5 linked regions of the Danio rerio genome follow. The protein of the gene in region 3 interacts with the protein of the main gene of each other region in a pairwise test. Links are inferred from orthologs where the notes say so. Each region holds a gene or a part of one and is shown on either strand. Other genes may lie near its edges.

Evidence for each region.
Region 1: the proteins of lmo3 (region 3) and bend7 interact in binary tests that used the Homo sapiens proteins (3 or more experiments, as listed by UniProt). The two-hybrid records come from large-scale screens. The link is inferred for Danio rerio from reciprocal best matches to the Homo sapiens genes LMO3 and BEND7.
Region 2: the proteins of lmo3 (region 3) and pelo interact in binary tests that used the Homo sapiens proteins (3 or more experiments, as listed by UniProt). The link is inferred for Danio rerio from reciprocal best matches to the Homo sapiens genes LMO3 and PELO.
Region 4: the proteins of lmo3 (region 3) and banp interact in binary tests that used the Homo sapiens proteins (3 or more experiments, as listed by UniProt). The link is inferred for Danio rerio from reciprocal best matches to the Homo sapiens genes LMO3 and BANP.
Region 5: the proteins of lmo3 (region 3) and wwox interact in binary tests that used the Homo sapiens proteins (3 or more experiments, as listed by UniProt). The link is inferred for Danio rerio from reciprocal best matches to the Homo sapiens genes LMO3 and WWOX.

Annotation. Positions count from the first base shown.
Region 1 is NC_133193.1:9,562,612-9,566,773, forward strand, and holds the end of bend7 (BEN domain-containing protein 7), read right to left. Parts: intron 3,790-4,162; coding exon 3,676-3,789; intron 3,512-3,675; coding exon 3,470-3,511; intron 2,144-3,469; coding exon 2,096-2,143; intron 2,017-2,095; coding exon 1,967-2,016; 3' UTR 971-1,966; downstream 1-970.
Region 2 is NC_133187.1:13,774,790-13,780,010, forward strand, and holds the start of pelo (protein pelota homolog), read right to left. Parts: upstream 3,287-5,221; 5' UTR 3,179-3,286; coding exon 3,138-3,178; intron 1-3,137. Other genes in the region: ppp1cab (protein phosphatase 1, catalytic subunit, alpha isozyme b), read left to right, coding at 3,947-4,001, 5,111-5,221. UniProt on the Homo sapiens protein: Component of the Pelota-HBS1L complex, a complex that recognizes stalled ribosomes and triggers the No-Go Decay (NGD) pathway.
Region 3 is NC_133179.1:13,189,212-13,194,546, reverse strand, and holds the start of lmo3 (LIM domain only protein 3), read right to left. Parts: upstream 3,615-5,335; 5' UTR 3,410-3,614; coding exon 3,352-3,409; exon of another isoform or gene 801-3,351; intron 698-800; exon of another isoform or gene 503-697; coding exon of another isoform or gene 475-502; intron 47-474; coding exon 1-46.
Region 4 is NC_133200.1:32,863,925-32,868,491, reverse strand, and holds part of banp (protein BANP), read right to left. Parts: intron 4,467-4,567; coding exon 4,267-4,466; intron 2,243-4,266; coding exon 2,144-2,242; intron 1,734-2,143; coding exon 1,570-1,733; intron 1-1,569. UniProt on the Homo sapiens protein: Controls V(D)J recombination during T-cell development by repressing T-cell receptor (TCR) beta enhancer function. Binds to scaffold/matrix attachment region beta (S/MARbeta), an ATC-rich DNA sequence located upstream of the TCR beta enhancer.
Region 5 is NC_133200.1:39,687,752-39,692,318, forward strand, and holds part of wwox (WW domain-containing oxidoreductase), read right to left. Parts: intron 2,561-4,567; coding exon 2,375-2,560; intron 1-2,374. UniProt on the Homo sapiens protein: Putative oxidoreductase. Acts as a tumor suppressor and plays a role in apoptosis. Required for normal bone development. May function synergistically with p53/TP53 to control genotoxic stress-induced cell death.

The sequences.
Region 1 (4,162 bases), on a different chromosome or scaffold from region 3:
TTTATATTTTGCAATTCTAAGCTTATATTTGACAATTCTATATTTATATCATAATTTTGAGCATATATCTGACAAATCTGCTAATAATTATCTCATAATTATAATTTAATATCTGGCAAACTTATTTATGTCATGATGTTGAGTTTATATCAGCGCAATTTTATATCAGCACAAAGTTATCCTGAACAATTCAGCCTTTTTTTCATGTTATTCTGAGGTTATTTCTTGAAATTCTGATCATATATTTGACAATTTGGCTTATGCCATAATTCTGTGTTATTATCTGACAATCCTGTTTAAGTTATGCAGTGCTAAGTCATTTATATATCAATATTCAAAGTTTATTTCTCACAATTCAGAGTTCAAATCCTGCAATTCTGGAATTATATCTTGCAACACAGAGTCATTATTGATACATACCCATATACACATTTATGGAGAGCGCAAATTACGTCCCAGGAGCTACGTTTTTTTGCAGTTTTCGCAAATCCGCCAGAGGCAGCTGTGTATTTTTTTTTTTAGATCTCAAATTTCTCTTACAAGTGCCATTTGCATATGCTCTTCTCACATAAATCCACCGGAGGTCGCTGTTGACTGACTGACTGAGCGACTGATAACCCCACCCACCCCATCCCTAAACCCAACCGATCTGCTTGTTAAGTCATGACGTATCTGTTACATATGGAATACTGCTTCCGGGTCCAGGCCGCTACTCATTTGAATTGAGAAAATATTCGTTTATGACCACTTTTTAGTCATATCACACATTAAAGTGAATTTTACATAACAAGACAGTGTACACATCAGTCTCTGGACTTGCTGCATCACAAATGAACATTTTTTTTAGCAATTTATAAAACATTTATCACTTTCTGGCCATTAAATATTAGGCATGGAGATATATATATATATATATATATATATATATATATATATATATATATATATATAGATCAATCGTGATTTTCGAAAGTATTACAGCGCTTTGTAAACATTTATTATTACTATTTGATCATTTTCCCCATTCTGTTAGATCCAGCACTTGGACCTGGAAGCCGCTTCGCGTGACGTCACACTTAAAGATATAGACTGGCCCATCCACCACCTCCCTAAAATCAACTGACAGTGTTCCAAAACCATTCCAGAAAAAGAAAAGCCCTCACTCCTGCTTGATTTTTACCACGTTTTCAGATATTCCCACATTCTTACCCTGTTATTTATTTGTTTATTTTGTTTATTTGCCAGTTTGTTTATTGGGCAAACTGGTAACAGCAGAAAAGTCGTCCACACGAAGGTGATGAAAAGAAACAGAAGCAGTAGGCGGCATCATACCGCCCTGTAGCATTCATTTTAAAGGTGAAATGCAGCTATACGTAGCTCTAGCTACATACTTAGTGCACTCCAGAAATGTATACGAGGGTACATTTTCACAATGAGCCTGTGTTGCAATTCTCAGATTATATCATGCAATTTTGTTCCCTATAGTTATGAATTTATATCAAACAATTCTCACTTTTTTCTTGGAACTGCTGGAATTAAGCCATAATTGTGAAATAAAACTAGCAATTACATCTGCATTTTTATTTCATTGGAAACAAGCTTACACTTTCTGTGGCTTGGCATGGCAGAGTGAATTAAAGGCACAGTCATCTCTTATCAGCGTTTCTGCTGATATTTGTTGGCGAAGCATTTGGATGAAGCTTAAAAACGACAAACACTTTCATATATTCATAGAAGACACTCAGTGACATCTGGACGACTCACTTTTAAAACGAACATGAATACCTGTTACAAAAGTGTGTCCACAGTTGTCTGGAACGCCAGCAGGGGTCCTACTGATCTCACAGCTGACCGTGAGCACTTTGCCACGTCTTGCCATACATGCTACAGTCTAGACGGACAAAATAATTAAAAATGACTCCTTTGTGGGGGTCGGAGGTTGCATTTTGTTGAAAACAATCTCGTCTCAGGCAGTGTCCATAGCAACTAGACTTTCTGTTCTCTCAAAAGCAGCACCTGCGGTACAAAAGAAAGAGTTTCGTCAGAACAAAGGCACATTTGGAGTGCGAGATGTTTAAGGTGTGCAATGCAGTACCATTTAGTGTCACAGTTTCCACTTTATCAACAGTTTGCTGACATTTCTCTAAAAGATAACAAGACAAGGATGATACAATGCAAGAAGGAACAACATTCCAATGCATTTCAACATCAGTTTGCTAAATCTTTTGGTGTTGCAAAGAATGCTGGGATATCATCAGGTTAGAGACACTCATTCATTTGATGGTGTGTTCCAAATGGGACATATCCCACCCTAAAGGACACATAGAAGTGAACATAATCCTGGCCGCCATATTGAAATGTCATTCCAAAGTGAAGTGCTCAAAACTTGCTACTTCCAAGGGGCCTTTGGAATGAAGGGTTTTAAATAATACCTGATGTGTGCCTTTGAGCAGGGCAGTTTTTTGGTGTCACACACTGTACTCAATGGGGAAGAGTTCACCCCTATCCTCTTGTCCCTTCAGAGGGACCCTCGGAAAGGATTAGGGGATGGGGATGAGCCCTTCCAAATGGAAGCCAGTTTGAAGCACTTACAGCTGAACCAATTGCTTCGAAAAATGATTCACTGTTTTAAAATGTTGAAAACACCCCATCCTGGAGACACCTACTGGTCAAAACCCTGTAAATGCAACTAAAACAGGCAAAACATGCATTAAAATGAGCTTTTCCAATCACACTGCACACGCTATTTAATGTATAACTTATAAATGCATTAGCTTATCATCTAATATCATTAAATATTAAGTATTTGCATAATATGCGTTACTTTATAAATTTTCAACAGTTATATTATTCGTTTGTCGTGGACTCTATTAATCAGGACAACAAGAGACTATTAACTAATATTATTACTTTTCATTTTACAAATGTATCACTAAAATTGCTACAAACTCGTAAAAGTGAAGTTGTTGACACCAACAACTTAGTGGTACTGTGCGCTGACATGTAGCACTGATGTGCTCACGGGGACCTGAGTTTGATTCCTGGCTCAAGGTCCTGTGCCGATCCTTCCCCTGTCTCTTCACTCCCAATGCTTTCCTGTCTAAAATCTTAACTGTCTTATCATAATAAAGGTGAAACCCCCACCCCCACCAATAAGTTGGCGGTTCATTCCGCTGTGGTGACCCCAGATTAATAAAGGGACTAAGCCAAAAGTAAACGAATGAATGAATGTTCAGTGATTCACCACTGGGGGGGCGATCTGAACAAACTCATATTAGTATTACTTGTCCCCCAAAGAAAAACCATAACATTTTCTGATTGTTTCAAAACAGTTATGATGTAACAAAGCCCTGTTTCTTCAAATCATGTAACTTTGCCAGTTTGATACAAACTGATTCGAAACAAAAATTCAGGTTTTAAAGCTTCGAAAGCAGCCATCACTAATGTTTGTGTCAGTGTGTCTGAGTACCTGTTTTGAGCTGGATATCACTACTGTCTGAGGTGGTCTCTGCTGCAAAACATTTCAGATAAATTAAGTAAATTAAGAATTTGATGAAAAAATTAATAGTATTAAAATTATTTTTATTATTTTTTCAACTATAATTCTAGAAGAAACAGAAAAGTTACAAAATTTTCAGCGATTTTGTTTGTTTTACGCCATATACATTTTCTCACCTCTTTTTAAGCGTCGACGGGCAAGTTTAATCTGATCTTGCAGAATCTGGACCCAATCTCTTGGGCCAGGAAGCTTTTCAATTCCATTGGCAGTGCAATACTTTTCTGTGAAAACTAAACACACACACACACACGCACGCAAGCACGCACGCACGCACGCACGCACACACACACACACACACACACAGACAAATGAGTTTTTTTCATTTACTGATCAAATAAGAAAAGAGGCCTTCTGGCATCAAAACAATAAATGATTAAAGCATCTTTAATTTTTGGGCTGTGTACATTGAACTGGGTACTTTAATTATGTTTTTCTTTGTTTGTTTGCTTGATTTTTCAGAGCAAAGAATAATTAATACTACTTTACAAAAGACACACACTAAAATGTTCCTCAGACAACAAGAACAGTTTATATACTGAAAAGTCTTGTAATGCATATTTAGGACAAGATAGATCTGATGGGGCGACACGGTAGCTCAGTGGT
Region 2 (5,221 bases), on a different chromosome or scaffold from region 3:
ATCAGCTGTGTTGTCGCGCGCGTACTCAAGAGCGGTGTTATCGCGCCCCTACTGAAGGGCGGGACTATGTGTGTCGCGTCGCAGAGGCACTTTTGATCATTTTGGATGGGCACTTTCTATGCAAGACTAAAAAGGGCATGTGCTCTGCACAGGTTGAGCCCTATGTGTGCACGTGCCTGCCCTGCATCTTATATATATTGATATTATAGGTAGATACAGACTGGTACAGACTGATGTGACTGGAGTGGGGTGGGGGTGTTTTATTTATACATATATACGCCTTTTTTTTAGGTGAGGGAATGGAAGTTTTGAGTGAGTTCCCCCACTTTTTTCCCTAGGACTTCAATAAGTCAAAGTACAGGTCTAGACTTAATGATGATCATCTTCAAGCCATACTGAGGGTCTCAACTGCTTCCGCTCTAAAGCCAAATGTGGTTCAGATTTGTGAGAAGAAGCGCTGTCAAGTCTCTGGCAGCAAGAAATAGGCAAAAGATGCCATGTTCAGAAGAACTGTTCATAATCTTCACTCAATGTTCTATTAATGTTCAGGACACTTCATGTTCAGAAGAAATAATTAAAACTGTTAATAATGACATTTGAGGACTTTTTTTTTGTGAAATCCCTTATGCGGCCCAGCCTCACCCAGACTTTGCCTCCTGCGGCCCCCAGGTAAATTGAGTTTGAGACCCCTGGTTTAAAAGAAAAACAAACTTAAGAAAAACTCTATCTATCTGAGACTAGGCATAAAACATGCTCTAAAACATATTCTTTTCAAATGTCTGAGTAAAAAAACAAACATTTTCCCCCTTTAAACAATGTATTTATTTTGAGAAACTTTTCAAATATTTTAGGAAAGTAAACATATTAGGCTGAATAATTCAAGTGAATCGTGGACTTCTGCTGTCTTCATTAGTTTCAAAAACACTGATTTATTGACAATTTATAAAGCATCTTTGGATGTGTGGAGTTTGCATGTTCGCCCTGTGTTCGCGTGGGTTTCCTCCGGATGCTCCAGTTTTCCCCACAGTCCAAAGACATGCGGTACAGGTGAATTGGGTAGGCTAAATTGTCCGTAGTGTAGAAGTGTGTGAGTGGATGTTTCCCAGAGATGGGTTGGGGCTGGAAGGGCATGCGCTGCGCAAAAACGTGCAATTTCATAACTGTAACAAGAGACAATTCAATCATAACCTAATGTTAAAATACCCATCAAAACAATATTTATCAATATGTATGGGTCCTCGGAAGCTGTAGAAATTATGTTTACATCCCTCAAAATGGTTAGGATTAGGTTGGCTCGGAAGACACCCCCCTTACTAACGAAGGCCCCGAATTTACCCCATACATGAATATAATATAATATAATATAATATAATATAATATAATATAATATAATATAATATAATATAATATAATATAATATAATATAATATAATGTGTATTTATATACACTCTAAGTGCTTCACAATCATGAGGGTGTCTCTCCACACCACCACCAGTTTGTAACATCCACTTGGATGATGCGATGGCACCCACAGGACAACGTCGATATTTTACACTGCCGATATTTTAAATGACAATATATTTACTAAATATTAATGCAAGAAACCAATCCAAAACTAAAACATTACTTATATACTCAATAAAAATCTATTAAATCTAGCTAATTCAGCAGCCTATAGAACAACAAAAATAATAGTGTTGCCTTGGTTACTGCAGTAAACAAAGCAGCATGATGTAAAATCTAGCAGAATTTTATCGATTTCACAAACTACACAGAATCCTGGTATTCGCAGATTTAATTCAGGCACACTTTATCATACAATCATATATTGCTTAATCAAAAATGATATAAAATTTAATACCTTGCAAAATAGCATTTAAGACTTTATTACTTTTTAAGGGCCTAAATTTTCTGTAAATTGATTTATCAACTTCTAATACTTTTAAGACCCCGTGGACAGCCTGAACAATCTGCTTTAAGAGAAGTCATCATTTGCTACTTCATTGTTTTTAAAATAAAGAAAGCATTTTACAGGTAACGTTTATTCTAAACCTTGGAGCTTATTCTTGAAAAAAAAAAGCAATAAAAGTATGTAAAGCTCCAAAAGTGGACCATATTACAATTGATTTGAATACTATTTTGGCTATTGTTGTCATCCATGAATTTTCAAATGTACTTTTTTTTTACAAGAGAGGCAAGACAACTTGTGAAGCTCTAGGTTAAAATCTATAATATAATTATTATTATGTTTTAATTCATTTTTTTATTATTATTCTAATGGCCAAATTCTAACTAAGGACTGTTTAATGTGCTGAGCAGTTTGTTATGTGCCTAATAAATGACAATAGACTACAGCTTTTAAATTAAAAACTTAAACAGATTCCTATTTTTTTCTAGTAATATACGATGTGATAAATATGTAAATACAAATATTTTAAAAAATATATTATTTTACATTTCTTTATTCCAAATCTTTAGCAAATATTTTTGGTATATCAAAAAGTGTGGTAACCATCCTAAAAAATAATGCTTAAATGTTAAAATGCCGTATTTAAATATTATAATTAAACAGAAAACGAGAAGCATAACTGCAAAAAAATGAAAAAAGACCCCTTTACCAGACTGGCTACGGGCCTGTTATATATCAATTATTTATATTACACTAGTCCGTGTGATTATCTTAAAATTGTCATTTACTTTAAGCATATTATTTCATTAACTAAATTATCTTATCTTTTCCATTTTCCAAACAAAATTACACACCCTTCTTTGTCCTCGTAAAGACCCCAGTTTGAAAACACCGGGCTATAAAAGCGCAGGTGGTCAAAGGGGGGCGCTACGAGCAAGGCAAACGCAATTTTGGGGCTGTGGCAATGTGAAACAATCCTGCCAAGTTTGAAAACACAACACTGGGTAAGCAATACAGCCAGCATTTTGGGTTATAATGGTGTCGGTTCTACAAACAGAAAAGATCCGTTATTACGCCACCATGTTTCATTTATACAAAAGTATCCGATTATTCTATTGTATTGTCATATAATACCAACATCGCATCATGGCACTACAACCCCACTCAACTGGTAAATATAATGCCCAAAAGTGGTGTACATGTAGACTCGTGTTCACAAACACTCACCCGGCATTATCCTTCTCGATGTCTTTATGAACCAACTTCATGGTCAATGAGGTTAACTATTCAAAAACAAAATACATCTTTGATAATGAGTAATCTACTCTATTTAATAGTCTGTTTTGGTAACGTTTCCGCCTCAGCAATAGCACATTCTGCTACTTTAGAATGAATCAGACGATTCGCAATGTCGCTCTCTGATCACGTCATTTGGCCGATAGATTGCGTCACCACGTCATTTCTATCTATGGTTACTTCCGTGGGTTGAAAGAACGTATTCCTTTATATTTCGAATATTGTTTAAACGCGACATTTTCTGAATTGATTTCAATCGTTGCTAATGAAGTATGTTAACTATCCAGCCTAAGAAGATTTAGCATGTCCATCATGACGAGGATTACAGTTTCAAAAAGATTATCCTGTGAATCTGAGATTATACACCGTGTTTAGTTCGACGAATTATATAGAAAAAGATTGACACATTAAATATCCTATTGGCTCTTCAGATCTCATGTTTGAAGGCTCGTCATGAGACGAGAATAACCAATCAGACACGCGCTTAATGTCTACCCCCACCCCTTTACCGTTTCCTTCAACCGTAAACGGTCGTGGTGCTAGTTTACCTCACACAACGAACTACCGGAGGGACCATTCGCGGCAATAACATTGTAAAGTACACTCAGGAATACCAACAGTAGTATGACTCTTTTGTAACGACGTTTTTATAAAGTATTGTCGTGAATTTGTATTGGGCGGGTTCCCCAGCGGTCTCGTTACTGGCACTGTTAGCCGGCTAATCTCCAGCGCGCGACAAAATGGCCGAATCGGACAAAATAAACATCGATTCGATCATCCAGCGCCTTTTGGAAGGTAATAAACTTGAATTCTTGTTGATGTATATTGCATAATGTTAAATAAGTGTTTGAACGAGTAACGTTATATAGTTTTACTTGTGGTCGTTGTCGTCTCCAGTCAAGTCTATATATGACTGTGTATTGTTATATATATAAGTTAAATGCATATCTCCGTTGATGTAATTAAAATACTGTTGTATAATTGGCATATTTATTACATATAATCCGAATTATATTTAAGCGCATGCGCATTTCGTTTGTCGTCGCGTTTAAAATCCCACTAAGATGTCGTCATAGGTCTTTATGCCAAATTTTGACTAGGATATTCAGGTAAAAGAAATAGTTGTATTGTAGAAATTAGATTATATACAACTCATTTGCCTTCTTCATACTTTCCAGTAAATATTAGCGTTAGTTAACCTTAAAGTGAACAGCAGTAAACCTAAAAATAAATATCTAACTCTATCTATCTATCTATCTGTCTGTCTGTCTGTCTGTCTGTCTGTCCAAATGAATTGTGATGAAACGGTAAAATGTATAAAGGTAAATGTCTGAGCCTTGCTATTGTTACTGTAAATGAATATGCTGCCCCGCAGTAAATGATTGTTGTTTCTGATGCAAGCTTCAGTAAAATTAGATTTCACTGCACTTGGATCACAGACAGGTCTATATTTACTTTTAACTCTTTAAATATCTGTTTGTTATCTGCAACCTGCATTTGGATAATGCATTTGCCCTTTAAATCAGGTGGTTTAAGACTGCCTACTAAATGTGAAACAACCAAAGAGCTGGTTAATAAAAAAAAAATACTTGCAAGGTGTAGCATAAATGATTATTTTCTTATCTTTTAGATTTTTACTTGCCTTTGAGGCTTTTTATTTATTTAAGCTCAATATGGCTGTGGAGTAAATTTACTTGTTTAGAAAACAATACTTGCATTTTCTAATTAATAAGCATTGCTGTATGAATAAAGACATAAGGAATTAAAGATCCTCTAATACGTGAAAATTAACATCCAACAATGTTTTAATTGTTAATTCATTGTCAAAAATATAATTTTTAATAATAATAATTAAAAATACTCATTTTTAATTTTATAATAATTTTTCACTTTCTTTTTTCTAGTGAAGGGCTCAAGACCTGGTAAAAATGTTCAGTTAACTGAGCAAGAGATTCGAGGATTGTGTCTAAAATCTCGAGAAATCTTTCTTAGTCAGCCAATACTACTGGAGCTGG
Region 3 (5,335 bases):
CAGCCCTTTGGCTTGGTGTCCGGCTGGACGGAGAGCATTTGTATACCTGCGGAGAAAGGGTGACAAGTTGAGAACATAGTTCCAGGTGTCTTTTGACAGTAAATTATGTGCCGTGCATTTCAATCAAGGGGTGAACACACAGTATTTTATCAACAATAACAAGAAGCCAATGTAGCTAACATCCTCCTCTTCCCCCTCTTTAGGGGAGGGACCAAAGCTTGCCCCCAGAGCAGGCATTGTGTAGCCCTTTACAGGGCGTGAAAGGGCTTTGTTGGGTAGAAAGGGAACAATGTGGGCTCATGCTGAAGGCCCGTAATTAGTATTCTCCCTCCATACAGAGTAGAGTAAGCTGTACCCCACTTCCCCCCACGCCACTGCTCCTGTCCCGGCCCAAAAAGTTTTTGTCCCACATTTTTACAAGTACGTCTGATTTTGCCCCGTTGTCCTGCTTCTGCGACAGTCCCCATTTCTCACCTTGTGCAGGAGAAGCTGTCAGAGCCATAGATTCCACCTAATGTATATGCTGCTCTTGGAGGGGGTGAGAGCGCAAGCAGTGAGAAATTGTGAACTTTGAGTGAGAGGGTCACCGAGAGATTTCTCAGCTGTGGTAAATTGAGTGTCTCTGTCTGAATTGAGGACCTCCCTCGGGATAGTTATAATGCGCTCGTCGCCACGATGCGTTGTCCAGGCAATCTCGCTGAAATACATTCATAGAGGAATATGAGATTAAAAAGCCTTGTTTGGACTACTTGACAAGAAAAGTGTTAGATTCTGCACACACACAAAAATCATTTACTCACCCTCGTGTCATTACAAGAGCTTCAGTGTTTGGATGAAAAAAAGTAAAACATGCAATGAAAGTGAAACATCCGTAATATCAGCTTTCGCATTCTACGGAAGAAAGGGTCTGGAATGGCACAATGGTGAGTAAATGATGTTAGAATTTATTTTTGGCTGCACTATCCCTTTAAATAGTCGTGCATGTCAACACTTTTGCAGACCATTAAGACTCTTCCATAGCTAACAGAGAGAGAGTTTGCCGCTTCTCTTTTTTTAACATGTGGCCTTGACGATAATTACTTTCAAAAATGATTTGCCAAAAGCGTGGCAGTTGGCCCTCACAGAAAATAAACAAGACAGTGCACCAATTAGTAAGACTGAGGACAGGTGTGAAATTGTTTCAATTCAACTGAGCATTACAATGCAGGGAAAGGAACAGCAGGTAGCCGATCCCTCTAGGGTCATAATTATAGCCTAGAGCAAATATCTGATGCAGTACCATAGGCTTAGACTGTGAACAACTTCTTTCTGCTGTAAGACCATGCTCGTTAAGATGTAGGAACATTCAATGAAAACGAGGCAAGGGATAATGATGATTCCTTCGACCTCACTGGCGTTTTTATGATGCTTTATTTTGAGTTTATTCAAAGGCGAGGGCTTGATGAGGGGAAAACAGCAAGGAGGCACATCAGACAGGTAGCACCGCCGCACTGTTTGTCCCATTGTGTTTAAGCTGTTGAGCTTTTAATTGGCTGGATTGGATTGTAAGAGAAGCACACGGCTGATTTCCTCTGCTATGCGTCCTTGTTCAGTCCCACTCATCCGCACAGCCCTAGCTCGTCTGGTTAACACAACAAAGTCACCGCCTCTCATTACCAAGCTAAAGAAGTTAGAGTTTCGACTCCCCTCCGTCTGCAATCACTGTTAGTCCCAAATGAATCGATTGTGAAACAAACCAACTAGACCTTCTATTCAGAGCTTGGATGCCCAATTCGGTGTTCTCTAATAGGAGTGTGGGATGTTCATGGCCTCATCGATTTTGTTATTTCAAATAGTGAACAAAAGATTATTCTAACACGAGGATTGGGCCAGGGTAGGCATTTTATAAACACAAAAACTAAATGATTTTGCCACTGATGCAGAAAAACTGCCCTGAACCACACTGAGACTGTTTTCTGCACTTAGCATGGTCATTTTAGTTCAAATCATGAACTCATGACTCGTTTGAACAAGTTCTTATTAGTGAATCGGAATCATATAGTTCGATTCTAGATTCAGGTTTCGTTTTCGTGAATATGAAACATACCGGTTGAACAGTACAGCCTAAATCCAAATCGAGTTACCCTTATGAGTCGGTTGTTTTTAGTGAATCCGAGACATGCAGTGCTAATAGTGTAGTTTGACTTTTGAACAAATGACTCTTGTGAGCCGATTCTTTTTAGCGATTCAAAATTAGGGAATCATTGGAGCTTTTCCTGGAGTAACATGACGGTTGGTTGAACTTCTGTTATTATTACTTTCGTTATGTTCCACTTGAAATTAAGAAACAATTATAACAGTGTAATAGCCCATTTAAAGCTTGTGAGGTGTAATACTTACCGAATGTCATTTATTTTTATTATAGGGGTATTTTTATAATCAGTATCAGGCTTGGTTTTATTTTACTAAATGGATTAAGCCTTGTCACAGTTTTTTGTTACGTCACAATTTTTATTTAGCATCTTTATATTGGTTAAACACGTCACATTTGACTGCATTTCTGCAGCTCTGAAACGTGACATCTCATAAAGTCTGTATAAACGCATCTTTGGAAAGAACTACAATACATTTCTTATATGTTATATAAGTTTATATAAGGTTTAGCCTATATAAAATCTGCATGGATCTCATGGTTTGGCAATAGATGTCTAAGCAAAGTAAATACAATACGAAGCTCAGTTCAGCATTTCTTCATCAGGAGTGCTAAAAGCAGCATTAACGGAACGGGATCGTTACGCACGAAAGAATTCGCAACTAAAATCGTTTATGTGCTACTCATCCCTATAGGCCCGGGACATTGGTGTCTTTTTTGTCTTTGCTCACTCAGATATTTCATCATGTCCCGTTCGCATAGTGATGCTCTTTGTGCGCTTCCCTGTTCGCGGATACTGATGGGGGAAATTTCGAGGCGAGACTTGGCAAACACCGGGCGCAAAGTACCAATTTGATTTCACATCACAGCTGCGCGAGCCGGAGATGCTGACATTTCACCCTCTTATCAGTTTAATTACTGTTGCCATGGCAGCCTAGTGCACGGAAAAGGCCAATAAGATTTGCAGCTTGCAAAACGACGAAATGAAACCGCTAACGTGTTAGAAACGATGATACGCGGCGACTCACCACAGCCCGTTATTTACAATTGTCTAAGCAAACCACGAAAATTCACACCGGGGAAATGAGACAAATGCGTCGGCTCGGTCAAATGCAGCTGCACAGCGACAAAACTACGCATGGAAACATCCCAAGTACTCAGCCACTCGTTTAACCAAACCATCACACACACACTGATATGATGCAAAACGCAGCTCTTACCGAAACTTTTCTCCCTTTTCTGCATTGGTTGACCCGCTTCGGCTCCCAGAAACACCATGCAACAAGACGAGGCGCGAGCCAAAGATGCGCGTGAAGTGAGCAGCTGTATGCGCGCGAGGGTGCTTCGCTTTTGTTACAAGTAACAATCCAGCTCGCTCCGGCAGAAAAGAGTGAAAACGACGAAAACACCAATCAACAAAACACGGGAGGGAGAAAGAAAGAGCGAGCGAGCCGCTATCGCTCAGCGCCACACGCTGTTAAGACTCCGTTTGTCACAACAGTGCTCGACTATGAAATTAGATCGACCAGCAGCCGTGGCGAGGCAAGTGGCGGCGAACAAATGACAGCGGATGACAAAGGCATATGCTTTACCCCTTCGCGCGCGCCGTAATCTTATAATCCTATCGTGCCTCTCGCTATTCGCCTATTTCAGTGCGCTACAGTAAAAGGCACGAAGTTGGATGTATACAAGAGACAACATGCAGGAACTCGCATATACTAAAACGCAATCAAGCATTCATGAACTGCATATCTTCTGATTCGTGCCACATTTTTAGGATATAAACACGGATGCAACCCAACAGCTTTCGCAATCTCTTTCAAGCTCTAGAAATGCACCAAGTTCCTCTTATTCAATAACTTTTGTGTTAATAAACTACATGCATCAATCCCATGTTACAGTTTTAAGCATATATCACGTTTTCTGTGGTTTGTCACTGAAGTCACAGAGGAATAATTTGTTTTGTTTGTTTATAAAATATTTCAGTTTTCTTATAAAACATTGAACAATTTAATAATATGAATGCTTATTTACTACTATAACAAACCTTTTGTGGAATGGAAAGGTTACGTGTAAGTTAGACGCTTTTCATTAAACCACTGATGCCCATAATGAACCCATATTTACTCTGAATATCTGTTGTTAGTTCCTGTCATGCAGACAGATTGTGTAAAAACAATCGTTTTGTGCATGCTCCACAATGTGCATACATGACAACACACCTGGCTTTTTGCAGGATTAGTTTATTCTGAAATTAATTGAATCACGTGCACAAATGATCCGACGCATGCAAACCTGAAGCTTAAACACTAACGATAAAAGCAACCCCTGTTCATTAAGCAGTACGTGTATTTAACTCCAAAAGAAATACAAGAAATGCGTTCGGTAAAGACAATTAAAGCGGCGCACACTCACCTTCTTGACCAAGTTACGCAGAAGGTTAAGTTAGGATAGCACCGACTCCAACTCAATATTCCTCGGAGCAAAAGTTCACGAATCTGACATTGCACCGCGGATAAGAGTGATCTTCAGGTTAAAAATAATGAGGTCCACATGGATCATCTACGAGTAGTTGTTCGCACCAAAAGCTACAGGTGTTCTCGCGCGAGCCGTCATGTATTGAGTATTCTGAGAAGGCTCACAACAACTTGCCCATCAGTGAGTGAGGAACGAGGAATAGTGAAGCCTAGCTTTATTATCTTCAAACCCAATCCCTCACCAGTGAGACATTACACGAGGAGGAAAAGGTCATTCGGTTATTACCGACAGCCGGAGTAACGGAGCGCGCGCTCGCTAACACAAACTTAATGCGCACCTCTCTGAGACGCGCGCGAAAACATGCTATGAGCTCTGTACTACACGTTTACACACACACACTCTCTCTCTCTCTCTCTCTGTCACTCTTTGTTTTAGCAGCTAGGCAACAATTTCGTGCTGCTACATAGTGAGAGCAGAATAGGTCTGATTAATAAAACATTTATGCATGCATATGCATGTCTGTCAGTATATGGACAGCTGTTTGTGCACGTGCGTCTGTTTTACTCTTAATTATCCTAATGCAAGCAAACACACTCTGAGAAAAACAAAAAGAGATTCCAATTACATCAACAACAACAACAACAAAAATGCTTTTACGCATTAGTGCCTTTATCAAGAACCTTGAGTGTCACAAATAACTTTTATTTCTGCGTTTAGTTTGAAAAA
Region 4 (4,567 bases), on a different chromosome or scaffold from region 3:
AACTGGGAATGATGGAATGACTCTCTAACAGAGGCTACATGTGCTGCTAAAGATTACAGACACAGATGATGAGAGGTTTTCAATGACTGTAGGCTATACTTTGTGTTGTTTTGAACCTAATTAAGGACGAAATGTATGTTGTGTGTACTTTTTCTGTAGTTGGTAACATATCGGGGACTGTAAGGGGCTGTATGTGTTCATATGTGTTCATTTGTTCATTTGAAACGAGCCACTAAAGCAGACCCCCTAAAATATGGCACCAATTTAGACAAGCTTTATCATTTACAGATCTCTCAATCCAGACCCCTATTATGAGAAATCATGTTTACTCCTTTGATTGCAGATGCTACATTTAATTGCTGGATAGAAAAAGGACTCATCACACTGAACGATTTATGTAGCGATACCAATTTCATGTCCTTCGACCAAATAAGAACAAAATACAATATCCTCAAAACACATTTCTTTAGATATTTACCGATCCGCAGTTTTATGATTTCTAATACAGTAGACTTTCCAACTTTACCTAGAGAAACATTACTTGACACCATTTTAAAAACCAACCCAGTTCTCAAAGGTATTATAGGTGTGATTTACTCTTTTATCTCCTCACAAAATCTAACTTCAGTACAAAGTCGAAACAATTAAAAAATGAACTTGAGTTGATTCCCTCAAAGGAAATTTGGCAAGACATTATATTTTATTATTATATTTATTGTATTTTAGGTGTATTACGGTAGGGGAAATCGTGAGTGAGGAAGCTGATCTCAGAAGCTCCAGGGAGTGAAATCTAAGAGAAATTAAGATTGTGAATAAAAATAAGAGTTATAAAACCTTCCTTTGGCTTAATTTCCACTGTTTTAGGTCTGTTTTAGATCTTGACTGAAAGAAGCTTTATTTTTATGATTTGTGTCATTGTGTCAGATTGCGCACCCAACATAGTAGGCTACCTAATATGGTGTGTATTTGGTATAGTATGTATATTTATTTATATATATATATATATATATTTATCGCAAAATTGTCCGCAAATTTCTATGAATTACCACCACACAATTACTAATTTTTGTCACTAAAAATAGAGAGACTAAGCACAACCCTGTTAGACCAGGGGCACAAAGCATATTTTTCCATCCTTAAAATAGCAAAAGTGGACTTAGACATGCCCTTGATGTTTTTGCACCATGACCTTTAGACTTTGCGCCTAGATCATTAAAATAGAGCCCATGGTGTTATTGAGGAGGGATATGAGAAAGGTTATGGAAAGGTTTGGTGGTCTTAGTGGGTTTAAGGGTGGGCTTAGGTGTAAGAGATGATCAACAGTATAAGTATAAATATATTTACAGAAATGATCATCATTTTTAAAATATAACTACACTGTAAAAACATCCATGTAGATAATAATTACACTGACCCAAAATGATTAACTGAAATGTAAGTACAAAGTAATTAAGGCCATACGATATAAAGCGGAACCAACATTTCAATAGGAATTGTTCTAGCTCAAATGCACTTAGTTATCACAAAGGTCATTTTAAGTCTTAAACATCCAATATTTGTAAATCTTACCCTCTGAGTTAAGAGTGATGAGCGTTACATTGTTGTTATTCTGAGGCTGGCCGCTGTTGGACACCGAATCGCTCGTTTCCGAACCACTTTCCTGATCATCCTGAATCTCCTCCTGAACTGGAACCTTCAGTACTATGGTTTTCTGTCTCCCTCGCCCTACAGTACTGCAACACAAAAATACAAAGAAGACTTACAGCGCTTTCAGATTAGCACTTTTGGTCCTCACTCGAATTCGTTTGACTTCAGAGTACGGTACGTTTAGAGGTTGTCGTTGGTACGGTTCGTGCAAACTCTGGTATGGTTCACTTCTGATTTGAATGCATTCGTACCAAATAACTGAAGTGAACCGCCAACTGTAAAACAAACTTTAGCACCCTTACACTGACAATTTTATGTGAAGAATGTGTATTATTTTACACTACTTTTTATTAACCAACATTTGCAAACAATAATACATTTCCTAATAAAAAATTTTGTTTATTTTTTTTGTTCATTCTCGTAAAAACATTAACTAAAATGAACCAATGGAACCTTGTTGTAAAGAGTTGCCAAAATATGAATGTGTAGTACTCACTTGCTGAGCAGATTTTCTAAAGAGTCTGATGTGCGTGGCGAAGTCTCCTCCGTCTTCGCCCTGTCTCCACTTACTATGACATTTGTCTGGGGAACAACACTAGGAAAAAAAAACTCACTGTTAGTGTCAAAATAAATAGTTGGCATGTCTTTGTGGAGTTTGCATGTTCTCGTGGGTTTCTCCATAGTCCAAAGACATGCGGTATAGGTGAATCAAATAAGCTAAATTGGCCGTAGTGTATGTGTGTGAATGCGAGAGTATATGAGTGTTTCCCAGTGATATGTTGCGGCTGGAAGGGCAACTGCTGTGTAAAACATATTCTGGATAAGTTGGTGGTTCATTCCACTGTGGCGACCCCTGAATAATAAAGGGACTAAGCCAAAAAGAAAATGAATGAATTAATGAATGAATGGGCAAAAACATTTTAAAAGTGTTGCAACCTTTTTTAAAAAAAGCCTGTTTTAATACTAATACTAATAATAATACAAAAATGAACAAATGCTTAATATGCAATGAAAACAAACTGGGACTTGTATTATGATCAGGGTCTCTGCAGATATCATAATGTCAAATTTAAGACCTTTTAAGACCTTTTTAAGACCATTAAGTATTAAATTTAACACCTATATCACAATATCAGAACACGCGAGAGAAAATGTAAAAGCACAAAATTAGGGCTAAAATAAAGTTATTTAAATTGAACAGTAGTAAGGTCAGGTTAAATGCACCATTGAACTACAGAAAAAACACATCTTAATGCAGATTTATACTTTCACCTGGCACCGCATCGCACAACTCACGAAACGGATTAAGGCTTTTGTACTTGACACGTTCACCATTGAGATATGTTTTTTTAAATGACAGGGGGCGGTCCAAAAGAACAGAAAGTAAAATCAGACGAATAAAAAGATAATCATTATCATTGAAGATGTTTTTGGGGGCCTCTTTTTTGTTTTAACAAACTTATCCCTCGGAGTTTTTCCAAAGTTTTACAAAAACTTTCCTCCTTTCCCATGGCTGTTGCAATTTCTAGCCAATAATTATTGGTCATTCTGGCAAGCAGAAATGTAACTGTGATAGAAAATAGGTAAAAACTTGATTAGGTATTATAGCTTACTGTACTATTCACTCTTTAAATAAATCCCACTATAAATCCTATTTTATCACTAAAATAAAGTGAACTAGTGTCTGCTGTACAGTGTTTTGTGAAGTACAGTAAAGTACTTCAATTACTCTGTTGTGGTAATACTATAGTTGCTATGGTAACACAACAAGTGTATTAAAAACAAACTACCCAGTGCTTTATTTATTTTTTTTTACAATATAAGGTATATTTTTCTAAAATTCACCACACTTTACAGTAGTAAAACTACACTGTATTTCATTTTATCAGTTCACTATTCTTAATACTACAGTATGCTGAAGCATCTCTGGAAAAGCACGAAAGGAGTCCGGCGGAGCGAGAGCAGATAATTTGCATGTGAGCAGCCAGTGTTTTGAGAGCTCGCAAGCAGTTTTGTCCATGAACAAAGGAAACCTGCGCGTGAGCAGAGATTCGCTCTCTCGTATTACAGCACTCCTGACTTATAAAACTGCGCTTGCGACATTTGTCAGTGAAATAACGGCATACTCTGCCAGCCAAAATCATGTCGCACGCACTCAAAGCGAACTTCCGCAAACACAGCGATGATGTCACATCCGCCGCGCGCACTGAGTTTAATATCAGAAAGCTGATTGGCTATCGCAAGTTGACTTTTTTTGTGGTTGTAATAAAGCAAATTACAATTGGACTAGTAAAATAAAGAACTACAAAACCCCAAAAACCTAGCAACAACAACAAAAAGAATTTAAATAAGCATTAGATGTAGCGTTACATGGACATCGCAAAAATAAGACCTGTGCAAAAATATTTAATACCTAGAACAGCGAATTTAAGACTTTTTAAAGCCATACATATCGATTTTTTAATTTAAGACTTTTAAGACCCCGCGGGGACCCTGTTGTCATTTATAACATATGTTGTACGCCGTAAAAACGGGCAGAAATAAAGAAAAAAATAAACAGAACCAACCATTTAATGAATGGTGCTGGTGTATAAATCACATGACCTATGGTCCACTTACCAGCGTACTTTGTCACAAGTCTGAGTGGCTCCGAATGGGGACCCGGACACCATGGGTACTTGAATCGTTGACTGGTTCTTGCCCATCACTGTGTCCAGTTTCTCCACTAAACCTCGACAGGTCACCTCAAGAACCTGCAGCTTTGCTTCCATACTGTCCAGCCGCTGGCAGATCGCCTGACTGATGGATATCAACATCGACTGGAGAAACAGAAATACAGAAATTGGTAAAATATCTAATTATATTTAATACCAGATGAAAATGTCATTTATTGATAGATGAGACCCACATAACCATCAAG
Region 5 (4,567 bases), on a different chromosome or scaffold from region 3:
AAGTCGTAATATTACAATAATAATGTTGCAATAATACATAAAGTCATGCTATTGAAAAAAAGGTCTTAGTGATACGAGAATAAAGTTAAAATATTACGAGAACAAAGTTGTAGTGATATGAGAATAAAGTCGTATTTTTTTCTGAATACAGACTACATTTTAGCAGAATAAAGACGTGTGGATACGAGAACAATGTCGTACTATTACTTTAATAAAGTTATACTGATACAAGAATTGAGTCGTAAAATTACATGTATTAAGTCGTAGTGATATAAAAGTAAAGTTGTAATATTATGATAATAAAGTCATAATATCACAAGAATAAAGTCGCAATTACACATCAATAAAGTCATAATATTACAAAAAATCAGGTCTTAGTGATATGGGAATAAAGTTATAATATTACGAAAACAAAGCTGAAGTGACATGAGAATAAAGTCGTAATATTCATTCTTTTTCTTTTCAGCTTAGTCTTTTTATTTTTCTGGGGTCGCCACAGAGGAATGAACCACCAACTTATCCAGCACGTTTTACGCAGCGGATTCCCTTCCAGCTGCAACACATGTCTGGAAAATAAAGGTTGTAATATTATGATAATAAAGTCACAATTTTATGAGAATAAAGTAGTAGTGATACAAGAATATAGTCATAATATTACGAGAACAAAGTCGTTATACAAGAGTAAAGTCGTAATGTTACAAAAATAAAGTTGCAATAATAGATGAATAAAGTCATCCTATTAAAAAAATAAGATCTTAGTGATACGAGAACAAAGACATAATATTACAAGAACAAAGTCGTAGTGATATGAGGATGAAGTCGTAATATTATGATAATAAGGTAGTAATATTATAAGAATATAGTTGTAGTGATATGAGAACAAAGTTGTAATATTACATGTATAAAGTTGTACAATTATAAAAATAAAGTCTTATTAATATGAGATTAAAGTCATAATATTACGAGAACAAAGCCGTTGTGATACAAGAGTAAAGTCATAATGTGACAATAAAGTCGTATTATTACAGTAATAAAGTCGTAATATTACATGAAAAAAGTCGTAAAATTACAGTAATAAAGTTGTAATATTTAATTGTAAAAACTCAAAATAACAAAAATAAAGTGTTATTAATATGAGATTAAAGTCCTAACATTACGAGAACAAAGTCGCAATATTATGAGAATAAAGTCAAAATATTACAAAAATAAGTTCTTAGTGATACAAGATTAAAGTAATAACATTACGAGAACAAAGCCGTTGTGATACAAGAGTAAAGTCGTAATGTGACAATAATAAAGTCGTAATATTACATGAAAAGAGTCGTAATATTACAGCAATAAAGTCGTAATATTATATGAAAAAGTCGTAATATTACAGTAATAAAGTTGTAATATTACATGAAAAAAGTCGTAATATTACAGCAATAAAGTTGTAATATTACATGAAAAAAGTCGTAATATTACAGCAATAAAGTTGTAATATTACATGAAAAAAGTCGTAATATTACAGTAATAAAGTTGTAATATTACATGAAAAAAGTCGTAATATTACAGCAATAAAGTTGTAATATTACATGAAAAAAGTCGTAATATTACAGCAATAAAGTTGTAATATTACATGAAAAAAGTCGTAATATTACAGCAATAAAGTTGTAATATTACATGAAAAAAGTCGTAATATTACAGCAATAAAGTTGTAATATTACATGAAAAAAGTCGTAATATTACAGTAATAAAGTCGTAATATTACATGAAAAAAGTCGTACTACAGTAATAGTCATAATATTAAATGAAAAAAAGTCGTAATATTACAGTAATAAAGTCATAATATTACATGAAAAAAGACTACCCAATCATTCTGGAGGACCATGTGACCCAATGGATCAAACATTGTATCCCGAGGGCAGTGGTGTGTATCAGGACGATAATGCAGCAATACACACAGAAGGACTGGAGACAGTAGATAGAGATAGATAGAGTGGTCTGATAAAGATAAAAGTTAAACATCTCCTATGGCCTGCACAGTACCCAGATCTAAACATTATTGAGCACTTCGGGCTGTTTTGGAGGAGCGAGTCAGGAAAGTTTTTCCTCCAGCAGCATCAGTAGTGTCCTGAACACTATTCTGAAGAAGAACGGCTCAAAATCCTTCTAGCCGCTGTGCAGGACTTGAACCTGCCACTTGATGGTGTATTGAGGAGCTACACCAATGAATTCCTGTGCTCTAAAACCAGGTGCTTCAGTTTCATTGTCCAACCCCTGTATTTTTTGCAGTGTCCTCAATATCAATCCTGTGCATGTTCATCATTAAAATACAGTGTATAGAATTACTGAATATCTGCATACGTCTGCAGGAATGATGTGAAATGCTGACCTGTGGGACTCGGAGGAAACCACCACGACCCGTGCCGGAGCCGAGAGCCGCAGGACGTCCTGCAGGAGCTGCACCAGGAGGAAGTGGCCCAGGTGGCAGATCTGAAAGGTGGATTCGAACCCGTCCTCCGTCAGACGCCAGGGCTGTGAGCAGACGGCAGCGTTACACACCAGCACATGCAGAGGCCTGAAAACACAGAAGGAAAACACTCTTATTCTGAAGTACAACATAGACAAACTATAAAAGACTACAATTAACAAATACTATAAAGATTTTAGCCAGTTTGGTTTTGCTGTAGTGAATACGGAACAAAAATTTAATCTGAATCAGATTAAGACGCGCACATGATGAAGTCTAGTTTATAATATCAACTGCTTTATCTGAAACATTAATTCCTAGTTGTTCTATCCATTCCATTTTAATATTCTCTAGTGTTACGTAACGGAATGTCATAATCAAGTAGTACATTTTGCAAGGCCTTTGTGGTGTACAAGGGTCTTTAAAATTAAGTCCAGTCCAGATTCAGCAGGCATTTGAGGGAATACAGAGCACTGGGTCTGAAGAAAGTGATGAACCTGGAGGTATTGAAAAAAGTCTGATTTTTTTTAAAAATTCAATTTTTTACTCATGTCATTGAAATTGGCAAAAAATATTATCTCTACATGGAAGTATGCCCAGGTCCTGCCCTCTCTTAAAAGGTAGTGTAATTTTTTTTTTTTAAGAAAAGTTTTATTGAATTAAAAAGCACATGTATACAGCTGTATTTTGCTTGCTTTGACACATTTTAATTTTTTGGTGTGGTCAGAGATAAAATTGGTAAATCCTTAATTTTGATCCCTGAGGAGTCATGTAAAATAAAAACTAATTGCGACAACCCATTTGCTCATGCTCATTGAGCAAGCTCATACACAACACACACACAAGGTGAAATGAATGAGGAGGCATGTGGACATAACACAAAATCTAAATCAAGTCATTTTAGGATGCAAAAGTCAAATGTATGCATATAAAACATGTTTTCCCAACAACAATAGTTTGGCTAGTGAAAATAGCAAGAGGCTAGTAATGTTGGAAATCTACTAGCCACAGTGGCTGGTGATCCAAAAAGTTAATGTAAAGCCCTGTATACAGATATTTAGGTTTGGTTTTGCATTGAAGGACGATGCAAAATCAACTTTTACGCTTAAATAAACAGGATTTGCTAAGAAACTGGGATGAAAAGATCTGTTCCAACCCTCTATGATCAGCTGCAGCTCAAGAATGAGTTTGACCATTTTAAAACGAGAAAAGACAGTAATAAAAATAAAATAAAATAAAAAGCCGTTTAAATTCATAACCAACTCAGCTATAAACGGCAAGGTATACGTGTTTTAATTGATGTTATTCTGTTATTTTTGTTAAAACCATGCAAACTGTATATGGTTTAATCTTGGTCAGGACACTCTGGTAAAATATTTTTAATCTTATTGTGCTTTTGTCCATGGCAAAATAAAGGCATTAATAATAATAATAATAATAATAATAATAATAATATATAATAATAATAATAAATATAATAATAATAATAATAATAATAGCAATAATAATAAATATAATAATAATAATAATAATAATAATAATAATAAATATAATAATAATAATAATAATAATAATAATAATAATAATAATAAATATAATAATAATAATAATAAATATAATAATTATAATAATAATAATAATAATAAATATAATAATAATAATAATAAATATAATAATAATATTAATTATTATTATTATTATTATTATTATTATTATTATTATTATTATTATTATTATTATTATTATTATTATTATTATTAAATCTTTTATAAACAAAAGCAAAACACACACACACACACACACACACAAAACAAAGCAGAGCACAAAAACAAAATATATATAAAAAAAGGAAAAACTATGAACCACAAACAACACCAAAACCCATAAAGACCAACACCAGAGTAAAACGCAATCTACACTAAATGAATGATTTTGAAGAATTATTTAATTGTAATTATTTCCTGAGGTCAATTGTTTCTCCATCATCAGGCAGAAGGACAGAGGTGTGTGTGTGTGTGTGTGTGTGTGTGTGTGTGTGTGTGTGTGTGTGTGTGTGTGTGTGTGTGTGTGAAGTCCAGGCGAGATCTTTGGTTTGACAGAGTCGCTCCATTGGTC